4 linked regions of the Notamacropus eugenii genome follow. The protein of the gene in region 3 purifies or fractionates together with the protein of the main gene of each other region. This does not show direct contact. Links are inferred from orthologs where the notes say so. Each region holds a gene or a part of one and is shown on either strand. Other genes may lie near its edges. The genes, in order: MAML1, NOTCH2, RBPJ and FHL1.

Region 1 (7,793 bases), on a different chromosome or scaffold from region 3:
GATCACCCAGAAACAGAAAGCCACGAAGAGATTGAAAGAATTTAAGAACTTGATCTGTGATTCCTTTTTTCCCCCACCCTCGATGTGATCCTAGGAGAGGACCTGGGATACACCTTATATGTTGAAACCCAGAAAAACCTCAAGACTTCACTATCAACAGATTCCAGTCAACTACTATCCAATGAAAATTTGAGCATCTAGCAGTAATTAATTGCAATTGTGATAAAAAAAAAAAAAAGAACACCATTCCTGTAGAAAGAAAGCATTTAATGTATGGTCTATGGATTCTGGATGTAACATAAAGCAACTAACTTGTTGGGGTTCTTTTATTTTATTTTTTTTTTGGTTTTGTTTTTTGGTTTTAAAACACTTTTAAAAATAGAATGTTAGAGTATTGCCAATCTTCAAGAACCTTGGCTTAATTTAATGTATTAATCTATCCATGGAAAAATAACAAGCAAAGTTTAGAAAATGCTAGGTGATGAATTGCAGTTTTTATAACGTAGTTTTTTTTTTTTTTATAAACTTCGATATTCCAAAACACTGAAGTGTCTATGTCCCTTAAAATTGATAATCATGTTTAAAGTGAAGTCATTTGTGTGGATAACATTGATTACTCTCTCCCACTCTTTCATTCTTCCTCTTCTGGAGATTTGAGATTGGGGGAGAATTCCAGACTATAATAGATACTGTTTGATTAAGCTGTATTAAAAACAGAGCTACAAAAAAGGCCCTTCTTTTTCCACTCCGTGTTGGAAGGAGCATAATCAGGCCACAATATGTGCGTGTTGTGTTGCCTTTGGTTACTGCTAAGTTCCCAGTATTCCATAGTTGGCACTGAGAGTAAATAGGTGGGGAGACTTACCATTGGTACTTAGGCATTCAGGCTTCCCAGGCTGGTTGTCTGGGCTCTAACCTTATGTGGTTTCTCTAGACTTTGAGCACTACTCATTGGGGCTGTCAGGGGGTGTGTGTGTGTGTGTGTATGTGTGGGGTTTTAACAATTTCTCCTTCCACTCTGTTAATGTTCCCCCCATCCCAGGCTTTTCTCTGCTGCTATGCAGTTTCTTCAGAGTGCAGCTTGCCCTCCATTGCTGGAAATGATTATATGCTCAGCACAGTGTTAAACTTGAGTGGTGATATATATATATATATGTGTGTGTGTGTGTGTATATATATATATATATATATACACACACACATATATATATACATATACATACATATATATACACACATACATACATAGGGTTAAAAAGAAAAAAAAGACCCAAATGTCTTCAGTGTCCAAATACAGAATAGAGCATAGTCCCTCATTTTTCCATTTATGTCTTTAGAGATTATATTGGTCAGAACAGACAGGCTGATGCAAATTTGATTTCAAACTGAATGCAATTGTTCAAAGGATTTGACTAGCCGATGGAGTTGTCTGGGACTTGTAGCATGAGCTACCTGGTATACGTAACCGTTGAATTTGTTCAAATTTTTATTTGCTTTTCATGTAACAATTGCATCATAAAGTACACTGAATGTAAGGGATTCCAATTCAAACAAAAAGTTTGCTAAGTGGCTTAGTGTATTGCTGGTCTTAAGTCTTTGGAGGGGGATTAAAATGCAGGTGAGGGTTATCTGAGCATTTTACTCCAAAGAGTTAGTGCTTTGTAATGACATCACACTCTACTGAAATATACTGGGAGCTGGATGTTGATATTTTAGCTCTTATTTGTTTAGAATAGCTTGAAATGTACTGATTCACTGTCCTTGCACTGAATATGTAAACACTCCACAGTGTTCTTATTGGGAACAGCAGGAGGTGATATTAGAATTCTCAAAAGGAATTATGTCAGTTTATTTTGTAGACTACTCCATGACTGGCACCTTTCTTTAAAGGTTGAGAGGCGACAGGTGGTAGAGTAGAGAATATTTTTTCTGCCTGTTAAATGCTATCTCCTTTCATGTTATCTTGCTAGGTCAAAGTGGCCATAAATGTAGCAATGAAGTCCAGTACAAATAAACCTTTGTTTAGTAAGGGCCTGAAAGCATGTTTACAGGTATCTACTTGAAGCAAAAGTATGGGACCATTGCACTTCCAACTGTACCTTCAGAACATGTTGTGTGCCTCTCGTTGAGTTTTGGTGATTTTTCTTCTGCCTGGGCTATGGAAACTTAAGCTTACCCTGCATTATTTTGATTCTTTGAAACAGGCAACTTCACACACCCTATGTGACCAGGAAGTTTTCAGGACTTGTCCCATAGACTTCATATTGCTTAACACAAGTGTTTTTACAAACAGTGGCTCTTCCTGGTTCATTCCTTTCCTTCATAGTGTAAGGTGAGGCCTCCTACTTCAGTATCTGACAGCTTTGTCATGGATGACCAGCAGCACTTTGCACAGCAGCTCAACAAGAGGCAACAATGTTTAATTATTTTATACTCCAGTTGTCTGGTTCATTAATGTGCAAATTCCTGTCCAGCAGATGTACTCCTCAGTTTTTCCCATTCACAGAAAAAAAGTGCTATTTTTCATTTGTCAAGCTACTAAATGGTGTTGCATTAAAGCTACATGTTAATCTCCTGCTTTTGACTAAGCTTCTTTACCTTCACTGTGCATGTTTTCTCCTTCAGTGTGCACTACTTTGATTTTTGAGGGGAACAGGGTGTGTTAAGTCAGTCTTCCCCTTAATTTCCAACATATTGTGAGAAAGTTAATATAGATCTTGACTCAACAAAAAGTATTGGGAACTGTCTTAGGAAAGTTTTGATTTTTATATAATTGGAATTTAGGTTCAGAAAAGGAAGCTGGGAACGTGAACAGCAAAACAAAAAAACATACTTGTTCGGTTTTGTTGGTCAGATGATAGAATTCAAGGTATTTTCGAGTGTTAATTTGTTTGTAGGTGGTAAGTATTTGGAGGGCCAATGATGATTTTTCTCAAAAATTAACCATTGCTACTCCAAACCAGATATTCAACTCCAGTTTTAGTTTCTGATACTGGGAGTATTTCTGAAAACTATGCCAAAAGGAAGCTTTTCTACGAATAGAGGATTTTTTTATGTTGCTGTACTAAAGGGGGTACATATAGATTCAGCAAAATTGATTTCTTATTACTGGCTTGTATTTGGTTTTATCTTTAAATGAAGGAAATGGAGAACATTTCTAATAGATTAATAGGAAATCTGCCCCAAGATGTATGGTGACCTTAGGAAGAAAAGTTGGTGAATAGGGATGGTGTTAGTGATAAAAGTGATGGTCATGCAACGTATGTTTCTTTCTTATGCCTCCATTTAGGGCAGTAAATAGGGTGCTCTTAGCCAGTGACTTTATTTTATTTGACTTGATTTGGGCCCAGACAGTCTCTCAAGCCAGCATTGCCTCCATAAGTCCTGGGAGCAGTTTCCTTGTACTGCTGAACAGGAACTGTTCTCTCAGCAACCACTCCCGTGTCTGTTGTGGAAGGATAATTATAGATGCGATATGCATATATAAATATATTGGATAAGTTATAATGTAACAGTTTACTCTAATAAAGAAAATTAAAATCTATAAAGCTTTTCCCTTTTTTTTACGAATTCGCACCAGACCTGAGCAATGGGGGCATGCCTAATGACCCAAGACTTCCTTGGAGGCAGAGAAACAAGTTTTCGGTTTTACAGGAATGTCACCTGTCTCGCAGTTTAATGTGAGGTAATCTCATACCCATAAACTATAAAAATTTGACATTTCCTTTTGTTTCCACACAGAAGTAGCAGCTATTTTCTGCTTTAATAAATTCATTCCTCATCTCCTGTCTGCTCCTATAGGTGAAGGGTGTATACTTCTTCACAGTCGCCCCTTTCTGTACCTGATTTGGGTTTTTAAAGGCTGGAAAATATCCATTGCCTATTCATCTAATAAGGAATAGTGCACACTTACCAGCATTTGCAACTTGATGACTGAAGTCAAGCATTTTTAGCCTTAGTCTACTCTCACTTGGTCACAGAGAGGGTTCCAGAGGACTTCAGTGAGCTTCCTTTTTTTCCTCCTGGGTTTGCCCCCAGCAATACTAGACATACTGTTGATATGTTTTTGCGTGGGACTGTTTGGTATGGAGTAACGGTGCTCTCCAGTCCCAGGAAAAGCGCGGCGGGAAGCGTCCTGGTGGGACGCGGACCGTACGCCGAGTTCAAACTGCTAACCTAGGCTTAGTGGACGCTTGGAAGTGGGCAATAACCTTTAAGCCCGGGTGGGAGGCCGCAGAAGGCTAGCTTGTGCACGCGCGTTCCTCTTAACGTAACCCACCTAAGTGCATGGACAGAAGGGCCTGAGGCGGTGGCAAAGTCAGGGGCGCCTCTGGACACCTGATGAGGAAAGGCTGCCTTGGCTGGCTGCTAACCATGTCAATCACTTTCCAGCTCGCCCAGCCCCCTCCTGTCTCATCCCTTACCCAGTCCCAGACCCTCGCCTTGTCATTGGTTGCCTTCGTTTTCCTTCTCTCTTCAGTTCCTTTTAAACATTATTTCCGTCCCAGACCTTCGCCCTCTCATTGGTTGCCTTCGTTTTCCTTCCCTCCAGTTCCTTTTAAACGCTATTTTTCCGAGCCGGGGTCCCGCCCCGTACACGTAGTTCCAGGTGCGTATGTCTCCTGCTCCTCTCGGGTTGGTAAAAGGCCTGTACGTCAAATCATGACGTCAAACGTAGGCTCCGTCGCCGCCGGCGGAGGGCCCGCCTCCTCCCGAAAGCGTCCCGAACAATTTCAAGATGGCGGTGGCGGAGGCGGCGCGGAAAACAATGGAACTAGGGCCGCGGGGGTCGGCCTGGCTCTGAGGCGGGGGATCGCGGCCTCCGCCGAGCAGACGCTCAGCTCCCGGGCCTGCTGGGCCGCCGCTTCGTCCTCCGTGCGCGGCGCCGGTCTCGGGGTTATGGCCGTGCTCTAAGGAGAGCTGCCGCCGCCGGGACAAGGAAGGGGAAGGAAGCAAGCACAGGGGCCCGGGCCCGGCTCGGGCCGCTCGGGTGGGACAGCGGAGGAGGCGGCGCGGCCCGGCGCCCGCGGCGGCCCATGGTGCTGCTGCCGCCCCCCTGCCCCATGGCGGAGTTCGCGATCCCGCGGCACAGCGCGGTCATGGAGCGCCTCCGCCGCCGCATCGAACTGTGCCGGCGGCACCACAACACCTGCGAGGCCCGCTACGAGGCCGCGTTGTCCGAACGCCTGGAGTTGGAGCGGCAGCACACGTTAGCCCTGCACCAGCGCTGCCTACAGGCCAAGGCCAAACGCGCCGGCAAGCACCGGCAGCCTGCGCCGCCCTCCTCGGCCCCCGCCGCCGCGCCACCCGCTCCGGCCCCGGTCCCTGCCGCAGCCGTCGAGGCCTCGGACGGCAGCGCCGCGGAGCAGAACCGCTCCAGCAGCGCCCTCATCGCGGTGAGTGAGCCAGCCCCCGGGGCGCGGCGGGAGGGTGCCCCCGGCTCCATTCGGGGGCCCCGCAGTCTGCCAAGCCCGGGGCACCTCGCGGCGGCATTCCTGGGGCGCCTTTTGGTCCTGAGTCGCGGAAGGCTGCTAGGAAAGGTGCCGCCGCTTTGTGCGTCCCGGGGCGAACGGAGTGCGCGGGGCGGGTGTGAACCGCAGGGGCCCAGGGAAAGTGACGAAACCGGTTCTGATTTGAGAAGTGGGAGGCTTCCCCTGCCTGCTTCTATGGGTGTGAAGTCGGGCGGGACTGGGAGGAAGCGGACCCCGATAGGGAGAGAGGCGCCGCGGCTGGAAGCGCCCCCCCACCCCCGAGCCCCTGGTGCAAGTGTCTGGCTCCCAGCGCAGCTCCCACAGCTGAGGTCGCGATTTCCTAACCCTCCCTGTGGTTAGGCACCAGAAAGGCGGTCTTGGCACGTTCATTCCCCGGGATCGGGGAACAATATGGTTTTATTCCATGCCTGTTTTTAGGAGGTAACAGTTCACGTTTATAGAAACTCCCTAAGGGTTGCCAGAGTACTTTCTTTCCAACCGCGAGTATTATCGCCGTCTTATAGCTGAAGACACGGTCCCAGAAGCGATGTTCTTGGACTTGGGGGCTGGAACCGAAGTCCTTTTACATCCAAACCAGACCAACGTTTGAGGATGTTTTCCCATAGGTAGACTTTGAAGTAGACTTGGTGACAGCGTAGTTGTGTGAAGTTTTCTTTTCGATAATTCGGTATACTAACTTAAAGATTGCCCACAGCATAAGTAACTCCTACACGGTGTGAATTGTAAAAGAGTCCAGACCCTAACGGTGTTAGTGGACCTGATGCTGAGGCGAGGAGGCTTGTCAGGAATAGGACAGGATGAAATATTGTGAAAGCAAGTTCTGTAAATGTAATCTTACAGCGGCACCACGGAAAACTCGCTAGGAAACCTTTGAGTCTTGGAATTTGACAAAAATGTTTCTCACAGTTTTGAGATTCCTGAGAAGCTAGAGGACAGTTCTAAAGGAGGCTGTTGGGACTTTGTCCATATGGTGGTAAAGTGACAAATGTATGGTATAAGCAAACACTACTAGGATCTTTTCCTTAACTGGGTTTTCTACTATTGGACTATTCTAACATATGGCTTTGTTCTATAGCAGTTGTCAAGGAAAGATCCTAATAGCATAATTCCACTTTTTAGAATGGATGTCAGTTTTAAACTTTGTGTAAAATGTGATTCCCACCATACTGCAGTTGTGACAGTGGAACATTTTATAGGTACAGTGAGAATCCCTAGTGTGAAAGGTAATGTGTAGTCACATGGGTGAGCTTTGTTGATGTAGGGTTTTAGTTCCTCCCAGGAAGAAATAAAACAAGAAAAAAGCACGGAAAGATTTTCTTGGGGCTTGAGGGGATGTTGGTTGGTTTGTTTTTAATGATTTAGTAATTTCAAGGAAGGAAAATGGAAGTACCAATTTAAGTATTAGTGGTTGTAATACAAGTTTAATTGGTTTTGTTAATGTTCAAAAGTATGCTTACAGTTTATAAAATGAGGAATCCTTGACCAAATTTGGCATGTGTTCATCCTGATTCAAGTTCTTATCACTTCACACCTGGATCAAAACATAGCCAGAGCCTGGCACTTACTAGGCACTTAGTAAGGTGATTGATGAATTGCTCAATCGTTCTACCTCCTATTTCTCCCTTACATTCCAGTTGTACGCTGAAGCCAGAATAATCTGCATAAACCTCCTATTTCATCAGAAAATTTGCTGACATGATAATGTTCAAAATCTTTTACCTGCAAGACTTAAATGTAATCTGGCCAAGATCTTATGTTTCCAGTCTTAGTTTCCACCACTTATCTCAATCTGTCCACCTCCAGCCAACCTGAAATACTCTGCTTCTCCCACCTTTATGCCTTTCCTGTTCCCCACATCAATCTTTGCCCATATTCCCCTTTCCTCACTTCTGCCTCTCTAAATCCTACTCTCCTACAGAACTCAGCTCACTTCCCTCACCTTTTGAAAAACTTTTGAAACCTTCCCTCACCTTTCAGCCTACAATGATCTTTCCCTCCCTCCTTTCTGTCCCTGTAGCTATCATCTGTCCTACTCTAATCATTGCCACCAATCATGTAACTGTCTTGTCTTTACAGTGTGTGTCTTTTGTCTTCCTAGTTAGATTGTAAGCATTTTGAGGGCAGAAGCCATTTGTATCCTTTCATAGGGCCTTGTATTGAACTACCACTTCCTAACTGTTTGTTGATGTTAAGGATTTTCCTTTTCTGCAAGAACTGTACTCATTGAATAAATGATCTCCAGTGCCCACTGGAAATGATTTTTCTCAACATACAGTGCTTGTTTTAAGAAAAGATCATACT
Region 2 (6,946 bases), on a different chromosome or scaffold from region 3:
GGGAGAGGACAAAGGTCACCTCCTGAATCGAGCACTCAGTCAGTCAACAAACATTTATTAAATGCTTCCATTCACTGTGCTAAGCACTAGGGATACAAAGAAAGGCAAAAGACAGACCCTGCACTCAAAGAGATCAGTCTAATGAAGGAGACAATATACAGGCAATATACAGAATAAATTGGAAACAATCAACCTAGGGAGGGCAGTACAGTGGGTTAAAATTAATGCCACTTCTTGAGAAAAGTCAGTCAAGAATGTCTCCCTGTACCCTACCTTCCTACCTCGAATGTCATAAAAAAGAGAAAGGAGAGCAGTGCAAAGGAAAAAAAAAGAGGCAAAAAATTATGCTCTTTTGTTTTATTGTGCCTTTTGTCATAGTATTCAAATAAATTGACAAGAGTATGACATTTTCAAAAGATATTTGTAAGACAAAAGTCAAGGAGGGGATTCTATAGAAATTCACCAGATCAAGGTGAATTATCAAATTGGTAGCAAGATCTGAAAAGTACCTACCAACTGCAGGGAAAGGAGATCCTGGGATATAGGTGTGGTCACAGACGGCTGTTCGCAGAACCAGAAGAATAGGGCTGACAGATCTCGGCTGGAGAACTCAATGATGTGTAAATTACATCCTGGCCACAAGCCCAATACAAGAGATTCAAAGGGTCAGAAGGCGTGTTCTAATTGGTACCTTGGGAGAACCCAAGTGATAAAAGATGGAGATTTTCAGAAAAGAGTTCACAGTTATTAATTTGGTGTAATTCAGGATAGTCACTAAAAAGTAGGGTTTACCCTCCCTTGGGCAGTCAAGTATACAGCATAGAAAACTGAGGATTCTATTTACTAGTTTAACGCTCAGATTCTCCACTTGTAAGACAGGGATGCCAATACCTGCCACCTGCACAGCTAGGGAGACACAAATCAGTGTTGGAGGATCCTTAAACGAGAAACGTCCCCTCTTCACAGAAAGGAATTCTATTTTCTTCTTATTTTGCACAATTTTGTACTGTGTCTTTTAATCTCATCTATTAGTTCTGCCCCAATGAGTCTGGAAAGTTTTATTTATTTCCCATCTTTTTTTTTTTAAACAACAAGGAAACTGAGGGTCAGAGAGATTAGTTAACTTGCCAAAACAAACTAAGAGAATGAGTGAGGATTACAACTCCCTAGACTCAAGCGTCCATCTGATCTTACTAATTTTGCCACCTCCACCCACCCCAATCACACATTACATCATTTCTTTCATTTTAAGGAGAAGAAAGGGGCTTAGACAACTTGAAATGTTTCTCCATGCTTTTCACTGACGCTACTACATCAGAAAGTATAATCACGGTTCTTTCTACACATATCTTTGGTTCACCTCTGATATCCTTGGGCAGGTGCATTTGCACCAGAAAATGCCTACGTCTACGTTTTCAGGTGGAAGGATACCTCTACTCTCTTAAAAAAAAAAACAAAAAAACAAAAAAAAAACCTAGTGTGCATTTTTTAACATCTCCTGGTATTCAAAATTGAGAATAGACAAAAATCACCTCAAAGCTGAATACCTTTACTTTAAAAGTAAGAACAGTTCTCGTTTGTGGTTTTAGTAAAATTCTTCCTGGAAAAGACAGTTTCATTATTTAGATTCCTTCCCCCCCCCCCCCCCACTTTTTTTTTCTTTAGCAAAATGACCTTCAAATGCGTTCAGAGACAGGTTTTTATAACTCTTAGAAGACATCCTAATTAAGGCACTTTGAGAATAAGTGTTACCCCTCCCACTCAACCCACTCTCTACAGGGGGCGGGTGAGATCACTGAAGAGAAGCCCAATACTGCCTCCAAGTTGAAGTAGACGGTCAATGTCACATAGCAGTTCTTACAAGTTGCACCCCCGCCCGCGCCCGCCCCCGCCCCCGCCGGGTTCCCAAAGATAAATGCGGGGATCTGTGTCTTTGAGGGAATGACAGCCATCGAAATTTTAATTGCTTTAGTAGGCAGCCACATGAGTTTTTTCCCTCTTCTGCCACAATGCAGGCAATGCCCACGAGACTCCCGAGATACCCAGGCAGAAGGGAGACTGTCAGAAATCCAAGGCGGGCTGCCCAGCACACAGTCAGGGCTTAATAAACTTCTGTCCGACTGGGCTGGGCTCGGTGGACCCTGCCCCTTCACCCAGAGCCCAGGCTGGGGCTCTGATCTAACATTCCCGGACAGGGAAGGTAAGATCGGCTCGGTCCGAGGGCGACCTCCCCCCACGAGGGCGTCTGGCATTCCAGGAGCCAGAAGCGCTAGGGGCGTGCGGCTCGCAGCCTGCTGAACTGTAACCCTTTGTTAGGCTAGGCAGGGCCCGAGGTCAGCTCGGCTCTCGCCCAGTCCTCGGCGGCCGAGCCTCCAGCGGCCCCCTCCCACCCCTGCTCGGGCCGGGGAAGAGGAGGGGGCGTGCGGCTCCCCTCCCCCGCCCATCTCTGAGGAGAAGGAACTGAAGACGTCCGGAGCTTTCCTTAATCAAAGTGCTTCACTCCCAGGGAAAGCTGCAGAGAGTCCGGCAAGCCCAGAGCCCCCCACCTTTCCCCGTGCCCCGGCGCGGAAGGCGGAGAGTAACTGCGGGTGGCCCGGGAAGGGAAAGGAAAAGGGTGGACCCCGGAGTGACCGGGGGGCGGAGAGAGCCCACTTCGGCCACCTGGAGATACTCACCTAGGGTGGGCGCGCCCTGGCACAGCCAGAGAACTAGCAGCAGGCAGAGCGGGGCAGGACTCAGGGCGGGCATCTTCTCGGTCAACTCCTCCTCCTCCACCCAAGCGGATCCACATGGGGCGGGGGGGTCCCTGCTGGGGAGCCCCCCCACTGTCTAGCTTCAGCCGCGGCGCTAGGACCTTAGTGCGGGGGCCCCAGATCGCCCCGCGCCCCGGGATTCGCGCAGCACCAGCTCCAGCTCCAGACACCGCCGCCTCCCGGAGTTTGGCAGAAAGTTTCTGCTTCTCTCAGCCTCGTGTGTCCTTCCGCCTCGGCCCTCCTCCCCCTGGGGAAAGCCCCGCCCTCCTACTCCCCGGCTCTCCTCCCCGGCTCTCCTCCTCCTCTTCCTCCTTCTCCTCCTCGCCTCCCCAGCAGCAGCAGCCGCCGCCTTCCGTACCCCGGGGTTTCCCGCACGAAAAAGTTCCGGCACGATTTCCCCGCGGAGGGATCTACTACGATTCCCTCCCGCTCCCCCCCCCCACCCCCCATTCCTTCTAGTCGCGGGTCGGGGCCGGAGACTCTGGTTTAACCCTGTCGATGCTGGAGATCTCGCCAGCGTGGGCAGGAGCGCGTGCTGATGGAGAAGAGGTCGGGGAGCCCGAGCCTAGAGCATTGGGCTCTACAGGGAGGTCCGGTGTGATGGGAAGAAATTTGGGTTAGAATCAGAAGACCTAGGCCCTCTCACTGGGTGACCTTGGGAAGGTCCTAGCACCTTCGATTTACAGCTGGAAGAGACGGGAGCAGCCTCTACCTTCACCTTTATGATGGAGAAGAATGATGACATGACTTGCACTTGACTTTGATTTGAGTGAGGGAGGGCTGTGCAAGGTCACTAGCCTCACTTTCTCCTTCTGAGACGTCTGGTTCCAGTGACCAGATATTCATCAGGGCGATGGCCCAGGATGCAATGGGAGACCTTGGCCTTTTTAGGCCTTTACCTTTAGGCTACACTGCAGTGGACAGAGCTGGATTGGGGTTCAAATCCCCACTATTCTGATCATTACTTGGGCAACTCTGGGCAAGTCATTTAATCTTTCTTGGCCTCAGTTTCCTCATGTGTAAAAAAGAAAATAGGTACTCCACTTTTACTTGTGTGACTATGGCCATGTCATTTATGAGCCTCTATTAGCCTCAGGTTGAGTCTGAGTCATTGTTGTTTGAGTCATTTTCAGTCATGTCCGACTCTTTCTGACCCCATTTAGGGTTTTCTTGGCAAAGATAATGGAATGGTTTGGCACTTCCTTCTTCAGCTCATTTCATAGATGAGGAAACTGAGGCAAATGGGGTAATTGACTTGCCTAGGGTCACACAACTAGTAAGTATTGGATTTGAACTCAGGTCTTCCCACCTATAAGCCCTGAGCTATTATCCACTGCACCACCTAGCTGCCTGGATCTCAGTTTCCTCATCTATAAAAGGAGGGAGTTGGAACTTTAAGATCTTTCCTAGGTTAAATCCCTATTATATATATATGTATACATATATATGTGTGTATATATATATGTATATGTATACATAATGCTGCCCTTCTACCCAAAGGTTATACATCAGTGTCATGAAGGAGGACCATGGTTAAGGAGAAATTTGGGGAACAGGAAGCAGAACAGGGTAGAGGCAGCTTACCATTCTTTAAACAAATATTTATTGAGTTTTTCAACTCAGAGGGTTGTTATACTTCTAAGCCCCTACCAGAGGTGAGCTGGTAAATGTTTAACAAACTGCTCTCCAAAAATTTTTTTAAAGTACATACCCATGACACACTTTTAAATTTAATCTGCATTATTAACATTTTCTCCATCACTTTCTAAAGTCTAGATGATCAACAAAATAATAAATCAAGTCCTGATTGTTTTGCTGATTTCTGAGGTACAAATATCCAAGCTCTAGCACATCCTTGTCACCATATAACCTACTTACAGTCTAGTTGCCAACACTGACACTCACCGAAAAGTCAAGTAACAATACAAGACGTGATAAGTGCAAGATGATAGGAGCAGAGGTGCCCAGAGAAGGGAGAATCACTGTGGGCTGAGTCAATAACATAAACTGCAAGTAGGACTTGATGTGGTCCTTGAAAATGGGAAGTATCTGAAGAAGAAAACAGGTATTCTAGATAGGGGACACGCAAACAAACATGCAAAGAAAGGAAGCAGAATGCTTGTGCCTAGAAAAGTGGTAAGAATGAGCCTGGAAAGAGATAGGAGTCAGATGATGAAATGCCAGTTTAAAATTTAGCTTGTTAACAATGGGAGGCCACTGAAGGATTTTGAGCCCAAAAGTGGCACAAAACTACAGAAGAGTAGATAATAATCTTACTGAAGAGAAAACTGAGTCATAAAGTGGTTAAATGATTTGTCCTTCTATGACATCACTAGTACATGGAAAAACAGACACATTTCAATTCATCAAATTTCAATTCATCAAATACCCCTACTATGTTCAGAGCACTGTGCTAGGTACTGGTAGAGAAACATTTTTTTAACTACAATATGGAATGGCCTAGTGGGGAAATAGGAAATACAACTTGCTATAATATAAAAATTATAGCTCACATTTATATATTAATTTACAATTTAGAGTGCTTTGCCCCCACAAAAATCCCTTTTCTTCTTTTTTTTAAACTGGGTATATGTGTATCTGGACTTATTATTTCATTGGAGAACTCCAGATGTGGGAACTATACATTCAAAATTATGGAGCAGTTCTCGCAACTGGTCTGTATAATTTGTAACTTTAGAGACTTGCTTGGGGTTTGAAGAAATTAAGCGGCTTGCCCATAATCACACAGCTAGTCTGTGTCAGAATTAAGGCTTGAACCCAGATCTTCCCAATTCTAAAACTAGCCTCTAACCACTATACCCAGCCACAAATACCATTGGCCCATTTTGCAGATTAGGAAACTAAGAATTGGGGGAGGGAGGGATATGATTTACCATGGTCACAAAGCTGGTGAGTGGCATGGCTAAGACTTGAATCCAGGTCTAGCAGCCAAAAAGAGCTAATAAAATCCTGAAGTACATCAGGAGAATCATAATTACTAGCAGCTGGGAACTGATAGGCCTGTTGTATTCTGCCATAATCAGGCCTCATCTGGAGACATATTCTGTCAATGGTTGACATTGATAACATTGGTAAAAAATTACCAAAGAAGGGCAACCAGCATGGTGGAAGGTCTTGAGTCTGGGTTATATGAGTTTTCATTGATGGTATTGGGCATGCAGAGTATGCAGAAAAGATGAATCAAGGTGAATAGAACATCTTCACATACTCAAAGGTTTTCATTTGGAGGAGGGATTCTATTTGTTCTGTTTGGTCTTAGAGGGTAGAACCAAATCCAATGGGTAGAAGTAAAAAAAGGTAAACTTGGGCTTGATGTCAGGAAAAAAGAGCTATTCAAAAGTAGAATGGGATGCCTTAAGAGAGAATGGGTTCCTCTTACCTGGAGGTCCTTAAGCAGAGGCTAAATAACTGCAAGTTGGGTATTTTGTAGTGTGGCTTCTTTTCATGGCCAGGTTGAACTTTCTAGTTATGCCACTGAGTTCTTCTCCAAGTCTTACATTCCATGATTTTGTCCTTTGACTCCAGATCAGTATTCCTTCCACTACCATGATACCTCACAGTGCATTATCTGGAAAGTGAGGTCAACCAGCTGGTGGTGTGTAGAACAGATTGGAGTAGGTAGAGACTGAAGACAAGGGAATATTTACCATAATCTTCATGTGAGATAATGAGTCCCTTAAAGGAGGATAATAGAAAGGAGCAGATGGATGTGAGAGACACTGCAGTTGGTAATTGGGGGGACACACACTTGCCAATGTCTTAGTCTCGTTAATTTGCATTAAGTGTTGGTAAAAATTGTCCATATGTCATTAATGTCATTACAATCCATGAGTTTTAGCAGCTTTATATGGTTAGGACCAAAGTTTTATAAATTCACCTATGGGAGATTTGGTTCTAGAAAACGGATTCACTCCAGCCTATCTCCCTGAAGAGTCAATGATCAAACCAGAATGACAATTTACTAATTTTATGCTGAAAAAGAGAATTAGAAATTAGACTAAAATATTTAATGTTGAGAGGAGAGCACATGTACTTCCTGGTAGGAAAGTCTCCTTAGGAGTAGGGTCAGAAAGTTGCTTAGTAGGCCCAGGATTCATAAAGCTCCACAGCCAGAATATGATGCATAGCCACATTCATTATATTTTAGTTTGGTAAAATCTGAGAAGACATCT
Region 3 (7,879 bases):
ATATCAGAAGCAATAGTATGGCAGAGCAACATAAAAAGGGAAGTAATTCTTAGCCAATGCTACAGCTCTTTATGGTAAAAAATATATATATATATATATGTTCAGAAGGCATCAACTTTCAAAAGAAAAAAATATGAAAGAATATGAAGTTTCTCACAAGTGATGCTGGCTCCTCATAACTGAAGAAGTTTTTGACTGCATCACTGGCATTACTTCATTTGTACTTCTGTATTAAGAGACAGAAACAGAACCACAAGGCTCAGGATCAGAAGTATATTACTGACAGCAAACACGAAGAGCTGAATGAAGCCACTGCTGATGTTTAATAAGACGAGGCAAGGACAAGGTGACAGACAAGAGTCCCTCCAGCCTTGGACACTCACTGTGTGACTGGCCAAGTCACTTAAGCTGCCTGCCTCAGTTTCCTCAATGTTTTTTTTCTGGAGATAAAAATGAGATATTTGTAAAGTACTCTGCAAACCCTGAAGCACTATATAACACTATATAAATGCTAATTATTATTACAGTCCCAGAGGCATAGGAAAATTCAGAAATATAAGGGATAGACCTTTCATTTTCCCCTTGCAAAGAAGTGGCCACCTTAAAGCTGAAGACTAAATTAGACATACACGTTAGTTTTCCTCTTCTTTTTTCCTTCTATGTAGCTTTTTCTTAACTATAGTTTTTAGAAGTCTCTGAAAAATAAATGTAAGCAAATGAAGAAAGCATGTACCAGAAAAAGGTGATTTTTTAAAAAAAAGTTTGACAGCTATCTTTACTGCTAAAATATTGCATATAAAAACCTTACTCAATCTATGGCTGAATTATTTATTGACTTTTCACTTTTCCTCTAAATTAACTACTTTACTAAGTGTAATTAAGTGACAAGAGGACCACAGAGGAGCTTAAGCTGTATTAAGGAAGGCCTGGGTTCAAGTTCCACCTCTAATACAGACTAGGAGAGTGAGTGACCCTGGCCAAGTCACTTAAACTCTCAGTGGCCCTGACAACTCTATAAGACTTTTAGTTTCAAAGCAGGTGACCTTTTATGCTGGCAGGAGATTTCTCACTGAGAGTTTCTTAAACCAATGAAATCATACAAAACACAACATGGTTTACCTTTAGTAGTGTGTTTGTCCCTGGATTGAGAGAACCCTGCAAATATTTCTTCTGACAATCATACCTAGCTACCTTCCTGCTGGCAATGAAGCACAATGGAAAATGTGTTGGATTTACAAGTAGATTTTCATTGAAATCCCAGTTCTGTCACTTACTGTGAAAAGGTGCATGTGTCACTTAACTTCTAATGATTTAATAAAATGAGGGAATTGGACTAAATAATATTATCTCTAATGATTCTTCCAGTTCCAAATCTTTGTTCCTACAATCCTATACGGACATGCAGGACTTCACAGCTTCTATATTAAAAAAGGAAATGGAAATGCTTGCTACAGATCTATGAAAATCCAAGACACATTTTAAATATGACAAATTAATGGCAAACACAAAAATGTTTCAGTCTTTGCAAAAAAAAATACTTATTCAACCTTACCAAACCCTCACAAAACCGTAACTTTTTTGAGTTAACAAAAGAAGACCTGCAAAAATCAAGTTGGATTTTTCAGATGGTCCTAATTACTTCTTAAAGCTATCTTGGACATTGGACATTAAGAAAACTGACATAATTTAAAAGGTATCACTAAATGTCACCAGCCTACAAAACAATAATTTAACTCATAAGTAGATATAAACCCTCCCCTGACTCCCTGCCAAAAAAAGTGAGGTACAGTGTTATAAAGGGAAATTTCCGTCTTCTAAATTCAGAATATTTACATGACCTTAGAGGAAAATATTCTAAAATGACCTGAAAAATCTAATCCTTTAAAAATATGAAATGGGCTTCCAAATATGCTCTGCTTCTTTTTTTTAATCATAACATAATCAGAAAATGATTTCACTTAGTTTTTTTGTGTTTTTATTTTTGCCCAAGTAAATTCTCCAAGGAGAATATATTCTGTCTTTCCATTAATGAATGGGAAAAGGATTCACCAGAACTGAATAAAAATTTATTTTCACTACTTGCATACAAGAGGGAACAATAACACAGCAACAATAAAAATCATTCACTAGAAATTAAAAGCCAAAGTATGAAATTTAAGAGTTGGAAAGGGAAAAAAAGTCGGTTACAGGTTTATAGATCTTAATTATTTGAAGATATTATGTTGGTTTCCCAAAATGTCATAATGCTACAAAGCCCTTGAAAAGCTCTGTATAGTAAGCAGGAAGAAAAGAAGTAGACTTTAAAGAGGTATCTTTTTTGGAAAAAGAAAAAATAAGATCCTTAATTATTTCTGCCATAAAACATGAATTTGGGTAGCATGATCATCAAAAAGCAAAGGATACAGCAAGTGCATACATCAATGACCAACAATTATCAAGTGGATTAATTTTAAAAAACAACATTCTAGAATCTAAGACACTATTTCTACAAAAGAGAATGTCTTGGATTTAATAATAGCTCCAAAACATGTTTAATTACTGAAATATCGAAATAATTTTGTAATAAGGTGATTTCACCAATAAATCTGTGATTTAATGAGATTCTGAGATTTTCTATTAAATCAAACTGAAATGAATTACTTTCCTATCTGCCTCCAACATACACTGTTCTTTATTACTAAAAGATAAGACATTTTGTACCCTGCATAACCTTTATAAGCAACCAGAGTTGTTTCATATCTTACTACCTTTAGGAAAGCTTTTGGCAACAGATATGCACTACCAAATCAGGGGTTTTCCAAGGTTTCAAAGAGTCAAAATGGCTTTGATTGCATCACTCATGTAAAACTACAGAAACATAAAAGCCTGAACATTTTTCAGTGGTTATGGGTACCATGTACCTAGAATTAACATTATTGTTAACCACAAACAACAGTAAGACTAAGTATCACAAACACATAAATCATGATTAATAAGACAAACATTTGTGAATAAACAATACACACACTAAAAATAATGAATCACTCATTTTCCTGAGTGAAAATTTTAATATGTAGAACAAAAACAAATATACACCACGGTTCTGGCCTCCAGAGTAGTCAGACTTATATATGACTCAAATGACAGCACTGAAGCAAAGCAAAAAAAAAAACAAAACTAATCTGTACTCTGAATCAAAAATTTAGTTACAACCTAAAGTATTGCTCTGAATTTATGATGAAAAAAAAATTACTGCCCATTAACTGTTTTAAAAATCAGATAAAACTTAACAGTTGAATAATTCCTATAGCTATTTTTAATTCAGTTCTTGAATTTCTACAGCATAGCATGCAGGTTATACATTTAATACAAAATGCTAATACTCTAGACTCAAAACCATATCCACAATCCACAAAATAAAGCACCTTAGAATACTCAGTCATTATTGCTAACAAAGCCTGGGATTTACACTGTCAATGACCTAAGAACAATGGGTCACTGGGATGTTTCCAAGCCATACCTTTTAATCCACGCCATGGTACTTCAAGAACATGTTAAGGTGAGCCACGGCTCGGCACACTTCGATGCACCTCAAAACACCTCAGCCAGTGTATCATTCTCCTTTCCTTTGGAGATCATAATGGCTCCGAAGAACTATAATGCTTCCATTTCAATGTCAGTCTCATACAAAATTTCAATAACTTTAAAAAAACAAAAACAAAAAAAAATGACTTTAAGTGTTAGTATGTTAAAGCACTAGAGAACTGTGTTAAACAAACTGCCATGATCAAGAAAAATAAATAAGCTGTTGCTAATATGAAAAACTATGTTTTAAACAAATACTGTTCTATGTAAAGGAGTTAAGCTTTGCCATAGCTTCCTGGGGGCTAGCAATTTTTTAAAAATTTGGTCTCACTTTAGAACCCGGGCAAGTAGCTTAAACCTCAATTGTTGCTTCAGTTCTCCATCAATAAAAGAAGACAGAACAGACCACTCAGTCAAAGTGGTCAGACTCTGAATAATTATTTGGCCCAAAGTTGGATGAAACTTTTGCAGGAAGGCATTCTCTTCACAGGAATATTATTATTTTTTTTTTTTTAGTAAGAGGAAATAATACAGATCTGCTCCTATAGCAGAAATCATGTTGATTTAAATTTGTACACTTTCTAACAAATTGAAAAAATTTCAGTTGGTAAGGTCTTCTTATAGCATTTTATACTAATTCTAACTCAGAGATAGCAAAATCTATATAAGGGTTTCCTCAAATTTGATTTCTTGATTTTTCAAGATGTGGACTGGTAGAATGATTTTTTTTTTCCTCATTAAAAATTTTCTCCTTCTCATGGTTCATTTTTGGGGTTGGGCAATAAGAAAAGATTTCACTTGTAATTCCTATTTTTAATCTACTATGCATCTATTTTTATGTTTAAAAAAAGGAACTTGGAATTTGATCTACAGATAGGGAGACAAAACTGAATAGCTACTCAAATACATATATATATACACACTTATCATAAAAGAAATAATGATATTCTGGGATCAGCTCTGATTAATCAAGGTAAGTTTGATGAAACTGAACATTAAAGTAAGGGTTTCAATAACCAGAAAAGACTAGGTAGATAATAAAAGATAAGGTATTAAGTTATGTCTATTTATAAATGATAGGGAATATGGCAAAACCACAGGATAAAAGATTTATAGATGTTAGGAAACATTATTCCGAGAGTGAAACTAAATCCTTAGAAAACAACACAAAATAAAATACTAACAAATTTAAATATTACACAAGGCTGCTATCATCAGATACCACAACCTGAGATTCTGATTTTTAAATCACCTTTTACCAAATAAATTTTAGCCAGAAAAAAAAAGGCACTGCTTTACAAACTGTCCTTGAAACTACTTTTTACATCCAAATTATAAGAAACTACTGACTTTTTTATTTTTTAAAATGGAGACATCTTCCCATAGAAAACAATTCTAGTGCCAAGCAAAACTTTTAGAATTATATATTTAAAGGAGAGCTAGAGTATTCATTAAGCAGACATTTATTAAAAGCTTATTGCAAAGTACAGGAGGGTACAGGGGAAGATATAAAGATAATTAATCCTCCTCCCACCCCTCCCCATGGAGTAGTAGAAAATCACACACACTCAAAGTATGCATTAATATAAAATATACAAAGTTATAATGCTAAATAAAATATAACCTTAAGCATAAAATGTTATGCAAGGTCCAAGGAAGAAAACGTCATTTCTGATTTTTGGTAAGGGGTAGGGAAGTGGGTGGAGAAATACTTAAAAAAGGAGACTGTAGCACTTGAAATTGAATCCTGCAGGATGAGTAGGATTTCATAAATCAGTATTTTTTCTTTTACATAAGCAGTACAGGAATATTTCTCAAATGTACTTTATCAGCTGAAACTAGTCTCATTCATGTGTATCTCAGCTGAGGTAATAGATATAGGCAAACAGATGTATAGGAGTGTAATAGATATACTACATTTATTTTTTCTTTTAAAGTCTGGAAAAAAGGCAAAGAGAAAATGGTTGAGAAATTCCAAATTTCCTGTACACTTACAGGGAAATTTAAGATTTTATAGACAGCTATTCATTCATTATATTCCTAATTTTATTAAATGTAACCTACAAAATTGAGCCACTAGGCAGTAGGAGGTGTGTTCATGTGCAAGTGTACTTATCTGAACATATTTAAAATCAAAGTGTTTTAGCCTCTGTATCATGAACCTCTTTAGAAAGTGATACTATAGTGTCTTTCTTAAAATAATGTAGTTTTTTAAAAAATTCATGATTGAAGAAAATGCTAAATCTCGGTTGTTGTTCAGTCATTTTTCATTTGTGTCCAACTCTTCATAACTCCATTTGGGGTCTTCTTGGCACAGATATTGGAGTGGTTTTTCATTTCCTTCACCAGCTCATTTTATAGATGAGGAAACTGAGGCAAACAAGGTTAAATGACTGGCCCAGAGTCACACAGCTAGTTAAGTGTTTGAACTTAGGAAAATGAGTTTACCTGATTCTAGGTCCAGTACTTTATCCACTGCACCACCTAGCTGTTCAATTAGAGGTTATTGAAAATAAAGAAGGTCCCCTTGAAATCTATCCAAGGATGGTGGTTTGTGGATCCCTAGGTTAAGAACCCCTGGTTTGTCTGGTAAAAACAAAAAACACCTTTTCAAATAAAATCTACTGTAAAATATCACATTATATTTAATTATATAATCTTGATATAACACTACTGTAAGTCCCAAAGACAGAAAATGGGTAACTGGGTAACCTTTCTCTATGTTGACTTAATTAAAATATCTGTACCACACTGAAAATAATTAATGACCACTTTTATATCTCTTCCTTAAATTATTTTTAAAGTTAAGAGAATTAATGTCTAAATACTATAATTTAGATGTTAGTAGACATGAAAAGTCTCAATACTCAACCAATGTCCAAATTACAGTGACAAATTTAGCATGTCTAATATAAAAAGATTTTCTAAGGTAATTTTATAGCTCCAAATCCTAGGAACTAAAAAGTCTACCTGAGAACTCAATATTTTGCCTCTTAGAAATCAGCAACTCCCTTCAAAGTTAAGTATGGAGACTAGTTCTTAAAAGAGACTTTTTCTGATCTTCCAGGCTCCAGTACCCCAAAATGACTATATATATTTTACATTTATTTGTGAATGTTTTCCAATAGAAGGTAAACTCCAAGAGGACAGGGGATGTTTTCTTCTGGTGCATTAGTGGGACCCCAGAAAAAAACAGAAAAGGCTGCAGAGACTAGAAGACAGAAGTTGAAAAGTTAATCAAAACTCAACAAAGGGTTAAATAGCTCAACTGCAAATAAAGAGACCAGAAAGACAAAGGACTTGCCCAGAGAGTAAAAGCCACCTCAGTCTATAGCCACACAACATTCACTCACATAAAATTCCCAAAGGAGCATGGGAGATGAAATTCAACTGAACTGAAATTTACAACTAGGAAGGAGGAAGATCACCCAGCCCACTCCAGCTCTAGCTCCAACAAAACCCGTGGAGTTCTCACCAGAGCAAATAATGATCAAGATATCCAAAGAAAAGTTATAGGAAGTACCTTCTTCACATCAGAACTGAAAAAGGAATCCAACCAGAAACCGGAGGACAACTGGAAAGGACACAACCAGCAAAGCAGGCACCAGATTAGTTAGGTACCCTTCCAGCTTGCTCAGATAAGGGTTAAGGACATGTGTAGCCTGCAAGGCTCTGTGTCCAGGTGCATCAAGAATGGAGAGCTCCTCAGTAAAAGTCCCAATGTGGACACTCTGGAAGGGGTAGACAGCAACAGTTACACCAGTCACAGTCAAGCCATCAGACCTGGACAATCCAATCCCAGAGTCAGTGAATCATCTTCCAAGGTGCCAGGGCTTTAAATCTCAAAAATCTCGAAGAGGTAAGGTAACCTAGGGAGGCAGAAATCTGCACAGGAAACCAGGGCAAGACCAAAGCACAGCAGGAAGAGAAGCCTTACACAAAGCTCTAATTCATGAACTAAAGGTAGAGATGAGTAAATCAAAGGAAACAATGATCAATGTAAAAAATTACTGCAAAGCTAAAGAATCCTCCAAAAGGAGTAACTGTAATGGCTGCAAGTAGCAGCTCAAAGGAAAAAAAAATGTACTTTTCACCAAGAATGCTCTGAATACCTGATTAAATGAAGCAAGGGATTTTTAAAAAATGAAGTAACAGCTCCTGAAGAAAGAACTGGAAGGAGAATAAAAAGTAATGTGGAAAAGTTGCGAATCTCAGTCAAGAACTGAACTTCCTGAAAGTAGAATAGACCAAAAAGAAATCAATGACTCCATGAGGCAGGAAAAAATACTAGAACAAAATCAAATGATTTTAAAAA
Region 4 (7,642 bases), on a different chromosome or scaffold from region 3:
TAGATGTAAATGTTCCAGTAATCAGAAAAACTTTTGCTAAGGCTTTTTCCCTTTGAGAGCGATAGGAAACTGGAGGCTCAGAAGGCTCCTTCCTGCTCCTTTCTCTCTCCTTCACCTTCTTCTCTAGACCCTGTAATTGCCCCTAATAGTTGACTGAGTCTTTGGGAACACAGTAGATTGAAGTGAGATTCACCTATGGTTGAAAAGAAAGGAGGTTCCAGCTAGCCTGAATATTTCATTGTGGGAGGGAAGGTGAGGCAGCAGATTCTGGGACTGAAGAGTAGGAAACTGGGAGTGAAGCTCCAGGTCGGGGGAGATCAGTGACCAGTTGGAAATGAAGAATTTTTACCCTTCCATCTTTCTTCCATTATTTGGTCTTGTTTGGTTTTTACCTTGAAGGACATCAAGCTTGAATGGGATGAATTGGTCCTAATTAAAATGACCAGTTCCTCTTACCTAGAGAGGGAAATCCCAGTTGGACCAGTAGGGCGCAAACACTGGGCTGCTCTTCTGGGATGACCAGTAAGTATTTTTTCAACCCTTGGACCTCGTGTCTCTAAAGGAGAAGGAGAACCAGAAGAACTGTGGAGGTAGGCGCCAAGTAGGCTGCTGAATTCCCTGTGTTTAACTTTTAGGCTTGCATGGTCCTGGATGTTTGGAGTTTGATCCTCCCAGTGGTGTTCGTGAGGTGGCAGACTTTGGAAAGAAGCCCCACAATCGTAGCTGTAATGTGATCTCACTATCTGTCAGGGAGAAGTCAGTTGCATCTTGAGTTCCCCCCTCCCCCTTCTGGGGTGAGGAAGGGCATTGTTTACTGAGGCACCAGACAGCCCTCCTTATAAGTTAGTGGGCAAAGTAGTGAAACAGTAGGATGCTGAGAGTGAGCAAATGTGATTTTCAGGCAAGTTGACACAAGAGTGAACTAAGGGTTCTTTTGGATGTCTAGGATAACTATCTATGAACCATTATAAATTGAGGGGGAAAGTGATTCCAAAATACATCAGGGTGTGAAAAACTGGAGGGATTCCTGGAATACTTCCTTGAAACACCAAGGAACCAGCCTTGCCAATGAAATTAGTGACTGATTCTATGTCATGGGGTTGGCTTAGGGTCTGAATGAGGCTGACGATGCTTCAGATTCTGTCTGACCATGAGAAGCACACAAAGATTTGGACAAACCCACTGTATCGAGGAGAGAAATGTGACTTTTGCCAACTGTCTTCCTGAGGAGTTCACTTATGACAATGCAAGGGCCCCCCCTTCTTGGGAAAGGAGTAGTTTGATAATTGTGCAGATTGGCAGCAGTTGGGGTAGATCAGGTGTTAACATCAAGCAGAGGTCATGAATCATGTCTTTTTCAAAGAACCATAGTTGCCTAATAGGTGTGAATTGCAAGGCCAAGCAAATTCAGTTACTCTGAGGGCAAGCTCCCAACTCCCAGTCTCCTTGGATTTGATCAACTCCCTTGTGGTCAGAGAGTATCAGGCTATCGGGGATACTTTTGGTTTATGGAGCAGCACAGCTTTACTCCTGATGGGTCAATTGAGTGGAGAAGAAAGAGCCTTAAAGTAGCAGTCAGAAGACCTGCTTACTACTTCTGTCTCTGCTAAGGATTTTCTGGCTGTGACCTTGGGAAAGGATAGACTCATAGACTGTGCAAGGACTCACAGACCACACAAAGACTGTGGTGATCATGGAGGCCCACTGTACTCAAAAAGGCTCTTTCTACCATATCCTTGACTCTTAGTCATTTAATCTCTCGAGAGATTGAATGCCTGTTTCACTTGGGGATGATTCTCATCATCAGGAAGTTTTTCTTTGTGTTGATCTGTAATTGGCCACTTGCCAACTTCTACCCAGTGTTCTTCCTTAATCTTCTGAGATCAAGTCACTGCCCCCTTTTTCCTGACTCTGGCATTCCATGTTATATAAATTTCATGCAGGTTTAAATCTAGTTTTCCTCCATTTCTCCCTTCATTTTCCTTACCCTCCTTGATGCACTTTTAAAAAAATGCATCTAGTGCTTAAAGAAGGTGCTTTATTTCCTAAAGGAAAATCCTTCTGATTCACAGCTAAAATGGAAAATTGGCTCCTACATGAAAAGATTTTCGGCATCTTAGAGTTCAGAACATCAGAGGGGCATCTTGAAAGCTGTTGGTTACACACAAAGATGTGTCTTGCTGAGAGCTAAAACTAAGCTCTTGAAAGACTAATTTTCCAATTTATAGAAGACTCAAAGCAGAGAAGTAGATAATTGACATAGCAGATGAAAGAACCAGGTTCCCAAGGGATCCCATGGGCTGAATCAAATAAGGTGCAATTCAAGAGGGGTTGATGTTAAGTTCTACCTTGGGGTTCAAAAAGTCAACTTTCTAAGTATAAGATGGGAGAGGCTAGACAACAATTTGTATGCAAAAGCAAGTTCCAAATGAAGGGCTCCCCAGAAGACTGATGCAGTTTGAGGTTACAGTACCCATGGTAAGAAAGAGGGTCTTTTCTACTCTGTCTTGGTCCAACCACTTATGGAGTGGCATGGTCAGTTCCAGATACTTCAGTTTAAGGAGGACATTGACAAGTCAGAATAGCCAGAATGGCAGGTAGAATAGTGGAGGACCTTGAGTCCACATCATATGAGAACTGATTGAAGGAACTGGAGATGTTGGGCACAGACAAACAAAGACTTGGGGGAGACATGGTGGCTCTTTTCAAGTACTTGCAAAGCTGTTGTTGAGTAGAAAAGGGCTTATTTTGTTCTGTTTGGCCTCAGTGGGCAACAGGTAGAAATTGTAAGGCTGGATGTTAGGAAAACATTCTTTCAAATTAGAGCTATCCCAAAGTGGAAGGGGCTGCCTCGGGAGGTGGTGGGTCCCCTCTCCGTAGTGGTTCCCATGTGGAGGTAGAAGATCACTTGGTAGCTATGTTGAAGTACTGGTTGGTTTTTCAGGTATGGCCTCTGAGGTCCCTTCTGAATGGGAGATGACGGGATTTTCTGTGGAGGAGGGCTTAGAGAAGCTGGATACAAGGAGACTAGTCAGGACACCTAGTTAGGAGCTCAGTGAGACCTGAACTGGGGTATGGCCATGGAACTAGAGAGAAGAGGACACTCGTGAGAGATGTAGACAAGACTTGATGACCAATTGGATATGGGGGCTCTAAGGAATCTTTTACTTTTGACTCCTTTCACTCTGATAAAGTTCCAATTGTTATTTGTCTTAAATTTAGCTTTCAGGTGTCAAAGAATTCATTTGTTCCTTCATTTGTTTATTCATTCATTTGACTAACATTTGTTAAGCAACTACTATGTGCTAATGACCAAACTTGGCACCGAGAAGAGGCAAGAACATGAACCTGTCTCTTTCCTTTGTGAAGGTGGGGTCCTATGGGGGTTGTACATTGGATATTCTGTTAGACTGTTGATGGCTTTGTTTGTTTTGCTAAACCAGTTTTTCCCCACTTTCTTCTTTATGTTTTGTTACAAAGAAATGGTTCTCTGAGTAGGAAAGGGGAGAGGGATATATTTAGAAGCAAGGGTGTTGTAAAGACAAAAGAAATTCATTTTTAAAACTAATATATATATATATATATATATATGTATATATGATGCAGTTGAGGGAGATAGAAAAATAAATGACCTCAAGGAGCTAATAGTCTAATAGATAGTTCCCCATTCTGGTATTCCAGGATTTGATGAGCAAGAGCACATTCATCATACCTGTTGTGTGACTCGATGATTTTGTAGCATTCAGCCAACTTTTGGTTTTCCCAGCTCATCTTTCTCGTCTGCCTTTGGCCCCTTGACCACTGTATTGTCCTTCTTTTGAACTCCCTCCAGTTCTGACCACAAGAGTACCAAGCCTTCCACATGTACATGCAATGGTCTTAATAGGAGAGGAGGAGAACGGTTTCTGCTTTGGTTCCAAGTCATGGCCTCAATTTTGGGGTGACTTTAGGGGAAAAAATTTCTAATAGTCCATGGAGCTGATATTTTCACCAGTAGAGTTTCGTTTTGCTTGTTTGGGACCCAAGATGTCTGTGTTGTACCCGTAGCATATGTTTCTTTTGGTTATCTGCTTTAAAGGACTCTTGAGGAGTTGGGCATTTTCCATAAATGGAGTTTTTTCCATATCGGGCTGTTCTTCCTGTGCTTCTGGTATCTATAGTAGGCAGGCTATAAGTTTAAAAATGCATCTATAATCTCTACAATTCTACTGTTTAAATCCCACTGTTTTATTGTACTAACTATAGTTGAGTTTATATACTGTAATTATTTTCAACAGAAATAGTATTATTTCTGTGGAGTAGAGCTGAACACTTGGGATCTATAAAGCAAATTAATAAGACTGACTTAGCAATGCCCAGGCCATGGCCAAATGTTGCTCCAGGAGAGGGATGGCTTTCTCTGTAGCCACTCCCGACTTTGGAGCTAATTTGGATGCTGAGTCGTTCCCCAGGTATTTATATGCAGTGTTTGGTATTTTTACTGGATCCTATTCTTCTCCCTGGGATCACCTAAAATGGTAAGAATTTTCTAGTGGGATTAAGGTTGTGATCTCTTGGGAGGGGTGGGGACATCTGCTCTTAGTTATTTTTGTATTAATAGCCTCCCCCTTAAATGTATGTTATCAAATGAGCCATATTCTTATCAGCTGAGATAGTGGTAGCAGTGACCTGGGCAGTGCTGGGGAAGTTGCTCTCCAAGGCATGGCTTCCCAGAAACACTCGGGTAAGGAGAGTCTGGGGTGCTCTTTGATAAGATTTTCTGACAACAATGATTTACATCGGCAAATGAACTTGACTGGGAAAAATGGGGGGATTCAACAATTTTAGGCTTGTAGATTTCGTCGTTGATATTGCCTGCCTTTAGGGAATGGTTAGCATGCAGGCAGAGGTGGTATGCTGAGTGATATGGACAGAAAGAGAAGAGGTTTTATTTCATCTTTTTGTTCCCAGGGCTTGGATGCAGGAGGCAGTTCAGAAATACTTGTTGAATCAATGAATTTCAAACATGCAAACGTGGTAATAGATTTTTGCATTCATTCTAATCAAAAGATGTAGACAACTTGTAAAGCCAGAGGGTAAGGACTTGGACAATGCTGGTTAGTTTGGTTTTTGTTTAGAGTAAGTTTGCCATCTAGTTCCAGGTGTATTTTTACTTTTGTTAAAACTTCTTATTCCTTTTGACTTTGCTGAAGGGGTCTGGAAGGTGGAGTTGGGGGGAGGAGGGAAGGGATGGAAGTCCGATGGAGGCAGAGTGCTCATGGAGTGATTGAGGGGCCCTGGTTTGAAGTCAGCCTGCTGCATCTTCCCTTCCAGGATGAATCTTTTGGGAAGACACAGCCCCTCTGTGTCCCCTCTTTTTTACCCAAAAGCAACTTTTTCTCTGAGAGCCAGAGGTCCAAGAATTAGAGGGAAAGGAAGAACCACTTTGATGAGGCAGCTGTTTTGCCAGGTTTTACATTGCTATCCAATAGCTAGTTAAATAAGATAGGATGCTACGGAATATTCTTTGGCTGGTTTTTCCCATACTAACACTATCCTAGCTCCTTTTACAGGCTTTAATAGTTAATGCTTCCCTCATTCCTAGGTGCATGAAAGCAACACCTTTCCTTACAAAGGAGCCACTCTTCCGACCTCAGGACTACATGCTTGAGATTGTGTTAATCATCTAATATACACAGTGTTTGGGTGTGGAGAAATTATTCAGCTCTGACTTGCCCTGGTACACCTTGGCTGTTTGGTAACTGGTAGAGGAACATTTGATTTCATTTATTAATTAAATAGCTGAGTTATTAAATGTTAGAGTTGATTTAAAAGGTGACACATTTCCAGGCATAGCTTCATTTTGGGTTATAAATTATACCAGGTCCCCAGGTGTGATTGTGGCTTCTATAAATCCAGAAGGGGGTAAGTACAGCTTGAAAGGGCCATTCATTATTGGAGTAAATTGGATCAACTTGTATTCAACTCCCCTGTGAAATTAGGGGGGAAAACCTATTTCAGGAAATAGAATTCCAGCTTTGTACTAGGAAAATAAATCCAGAAACTTGATAGAATGGGAGAGAGAGGATGCAGTGTGACCCTAAAGTGTAGGTGTGGTCTACATGGAACAACTGCCTAATTTTGCTAGTGGCTTTTGTGTGTCTGTGCTTAAAATAGACCCTTGAGGGTAGATAAGAACATGGTTCCCTCCCGTGTTTTATGAACAACAGATTCAATAGCTGTTCTACCTCCTCCACTTGAGCTTTGACAGGCAAGTCATAGGGCCAAAGGAAGCAATGTCCCTAGTGACCCGCCCGCCCATGTACAGTTAGTTACTTATGGCATTCACACTGCCATCAAATAGCTTTAAAGAGCTGTCCAGGGCTGACACTTGGTGGAGTTAATGGAGTTGATAAAGGCCAAACCAAAATGTTTCAGGCATTTGACTCCCGGATAGGTCTCTGCCCGTCCCTAATACTGTCTCTAATAAGTAATTTAGCTGAGCATCGCAATTGTCTGCATACCTTTTCTTCTCTGACAGGCCCAGCTCTTCTTTCCTCTGAAATACACCCCCCACCCCAAACAACCACAACCACAATGCATTTAGTGAGAGGGTTTTTTAATGCTTTGTTTGAGAAGCTTCATTCACAGGACCCTTGACCTTGGAGCTGGAAAGGGACCTTGTGGAGCCTAGTCTGACTCTCCTCAGATAACAGGTGAGGAAACTGAGGTCCCAAGAGAGGAAGTGAATTGGCTAGAACAATAAAGACATATGGGTTTTAAGTGTCTGTTGGGCCCAGAACAGTAAGCTTGATAGGTGTTAGGGGAGAGAAAATTTAGATTAGACACAGTCCTCAGAACTATTAATACCAAAGACAACTCGGCAAAATCATGAAGTAGGTAAACTTAGTCTGTTCTCTGTCCTAACTTAACAAAGAACACACATTTATCAAGTTCCTAAAAGCCCCCAATGGGGCCTGATGAGTCGGATGTGACTGAACAAGTGTATATGTCTTGCTAGGTTGGTACTAGGGAGATGTCAATGACTTATGAGCTTGTGGAGGTGATCAGACACGTTCCCTGAGAAATGAGTCCCCTGCCAGTTCCTTTACTAGTGTGTTAGGGCCTCTTCCGAGGCCTGTTCTTGCTCTGGATCCTTTGGTTTCTCCTAAACAATTCAAGGGCATTAATGATTAATAAAGGCTTAGGATGTGCCCCTTCCCCAGTCTCTTTGTGTCTTAAACAGGGATTCTTTTGAAATGACACCCTGAGCGTGGCTGATATTGTAGAAGTTAGCTTAACGTGAATCCTTTCCATTTCAAAATGTCATTTTCTGCTTTCCACATCCAGAGAAAGAACTATGGAGGCTGAATGCACATCCAAGCATACTATTTTTCATTTTGATTTTTTTTGGTGGCTTTTCCCTTTTCTGTTTCTTCTCTCATATATGACAAATATGAAAATATGTTTACATGATTGCACATGTATGACCTCTATCAGATTGCTTGCTGTCTTTGGGGGAAAGGGAAGGAGAAAAAATTTGAAACTCAATATCTTATAAAAAAATGAAAGTTGAAAACTATCTTTACATGTAATTGGAAAAGATAAAATACTATTTCCCGCCCCCTCCTCCCATTATCAGCATCAGAGGAAAAAAAATAAT

What was found.
Region 1: the proteins of RBPJ (region 3) and MAML1 purify together in Homo sapiens (co-immunoprecipitation; 12 studies listed by BioGRID and IntAct, counting the BioPlex papers as one, with this or other methods). This does not show direct contact. The link is inferred for Notamacropus eugenii from reciprocal best matches to the Homo sapiens genes RBPJ and MAML1.
Region 2: the proteins of RBPJ (region 3) and NOTCH2 purify together in Homo sapiens (affinity purification with mass spectrometry; 3 studies listed by BioGRID and IntAct, counting the BioPlex papers as one, with this or other methods). This does not show direct contact. The link is inferred for Notamacropus eugenii from reciprocal best matches to the Homo sapiens genes RBPJ and NOTCH2.
Region 4: the proteins of RBPJ (region 3) and FHL1 purify together in Homo sapiens (affinity purification with western blotting; 4 studies listed by BioGRID and IntAct, with this or other methods). This does not show direct contact. The link is inferred for Notamacropus eugenii from reciprocal best matches to the Homo sapiens genes RBPJ and FHL1.

What each region holds. Positions count from the first base shown.
Region 1 is NC_092872.1:416,685,725-416,693,517, reverse strand, and holds the start of MAML1 (mastermind-like protein 1), read left to right. Parts: upstream 1-4,778; 5' UTR 4,779-5,036; coding exon 5,037-5,396; intron 5,397-7,793. Other genes in the region: CANX (calnexin), read left to right, coding at 1-35. UniProt on the Homo sapiens protein: Acts as a transcriptional coactivator for NOTCH proteins. Has been shown to amplify NOTCH-induced transcription of HES1. Enhances phosphorylation and proteolytic turnover of the NOTCH intracellular domain in the nucleus through interaction with CDK8.
Region 2 is NC_092873.1:300,122,259-300,129,204, forward strand, and holds the start of NOTCH2 (neurogenic locus notch homolog protein 2), read right to left. Parts: upstream 3,002-6,946; 5' UTR 2,749-3,001; coding exon 2,676-2,748; intron 1-2,675. UniProt on the Homo sapiens protein: Functions as a receptor for membrane-bound ligands Jagged-1 (JAG1), Jagged-2 (JAG2) and Delta-1 (DLL1) to regulate cell-fate determination.
Region 3 is NC_092877.1:79,244,038-79,251,916, reverse strand, and holds the start of RBPJ (recombining binding protein suppressor of hairless), read right to left. Parts: upstream 3,011-7,879; 5' UTR 211-3,010; coding exon 158-210; intron 1-157. UniProt on the Homo sapiens protein: Transcriptional regulator that plays a central role in Notch signaling, a signaling pathway involved in cell-cell communication that regulates a broad spectrum of cell-fate determinations.
Region 4 is NC_092879.1:57,439,889-57,447,530, forward strand, and holds the start of FHL1 (four and a half LIM domains protein 1), read left to right. Parts: upstream 1-4,622; 5' UTR 4,623-4,701; coding exon 4,702-4,723; intron 4,724-7,642.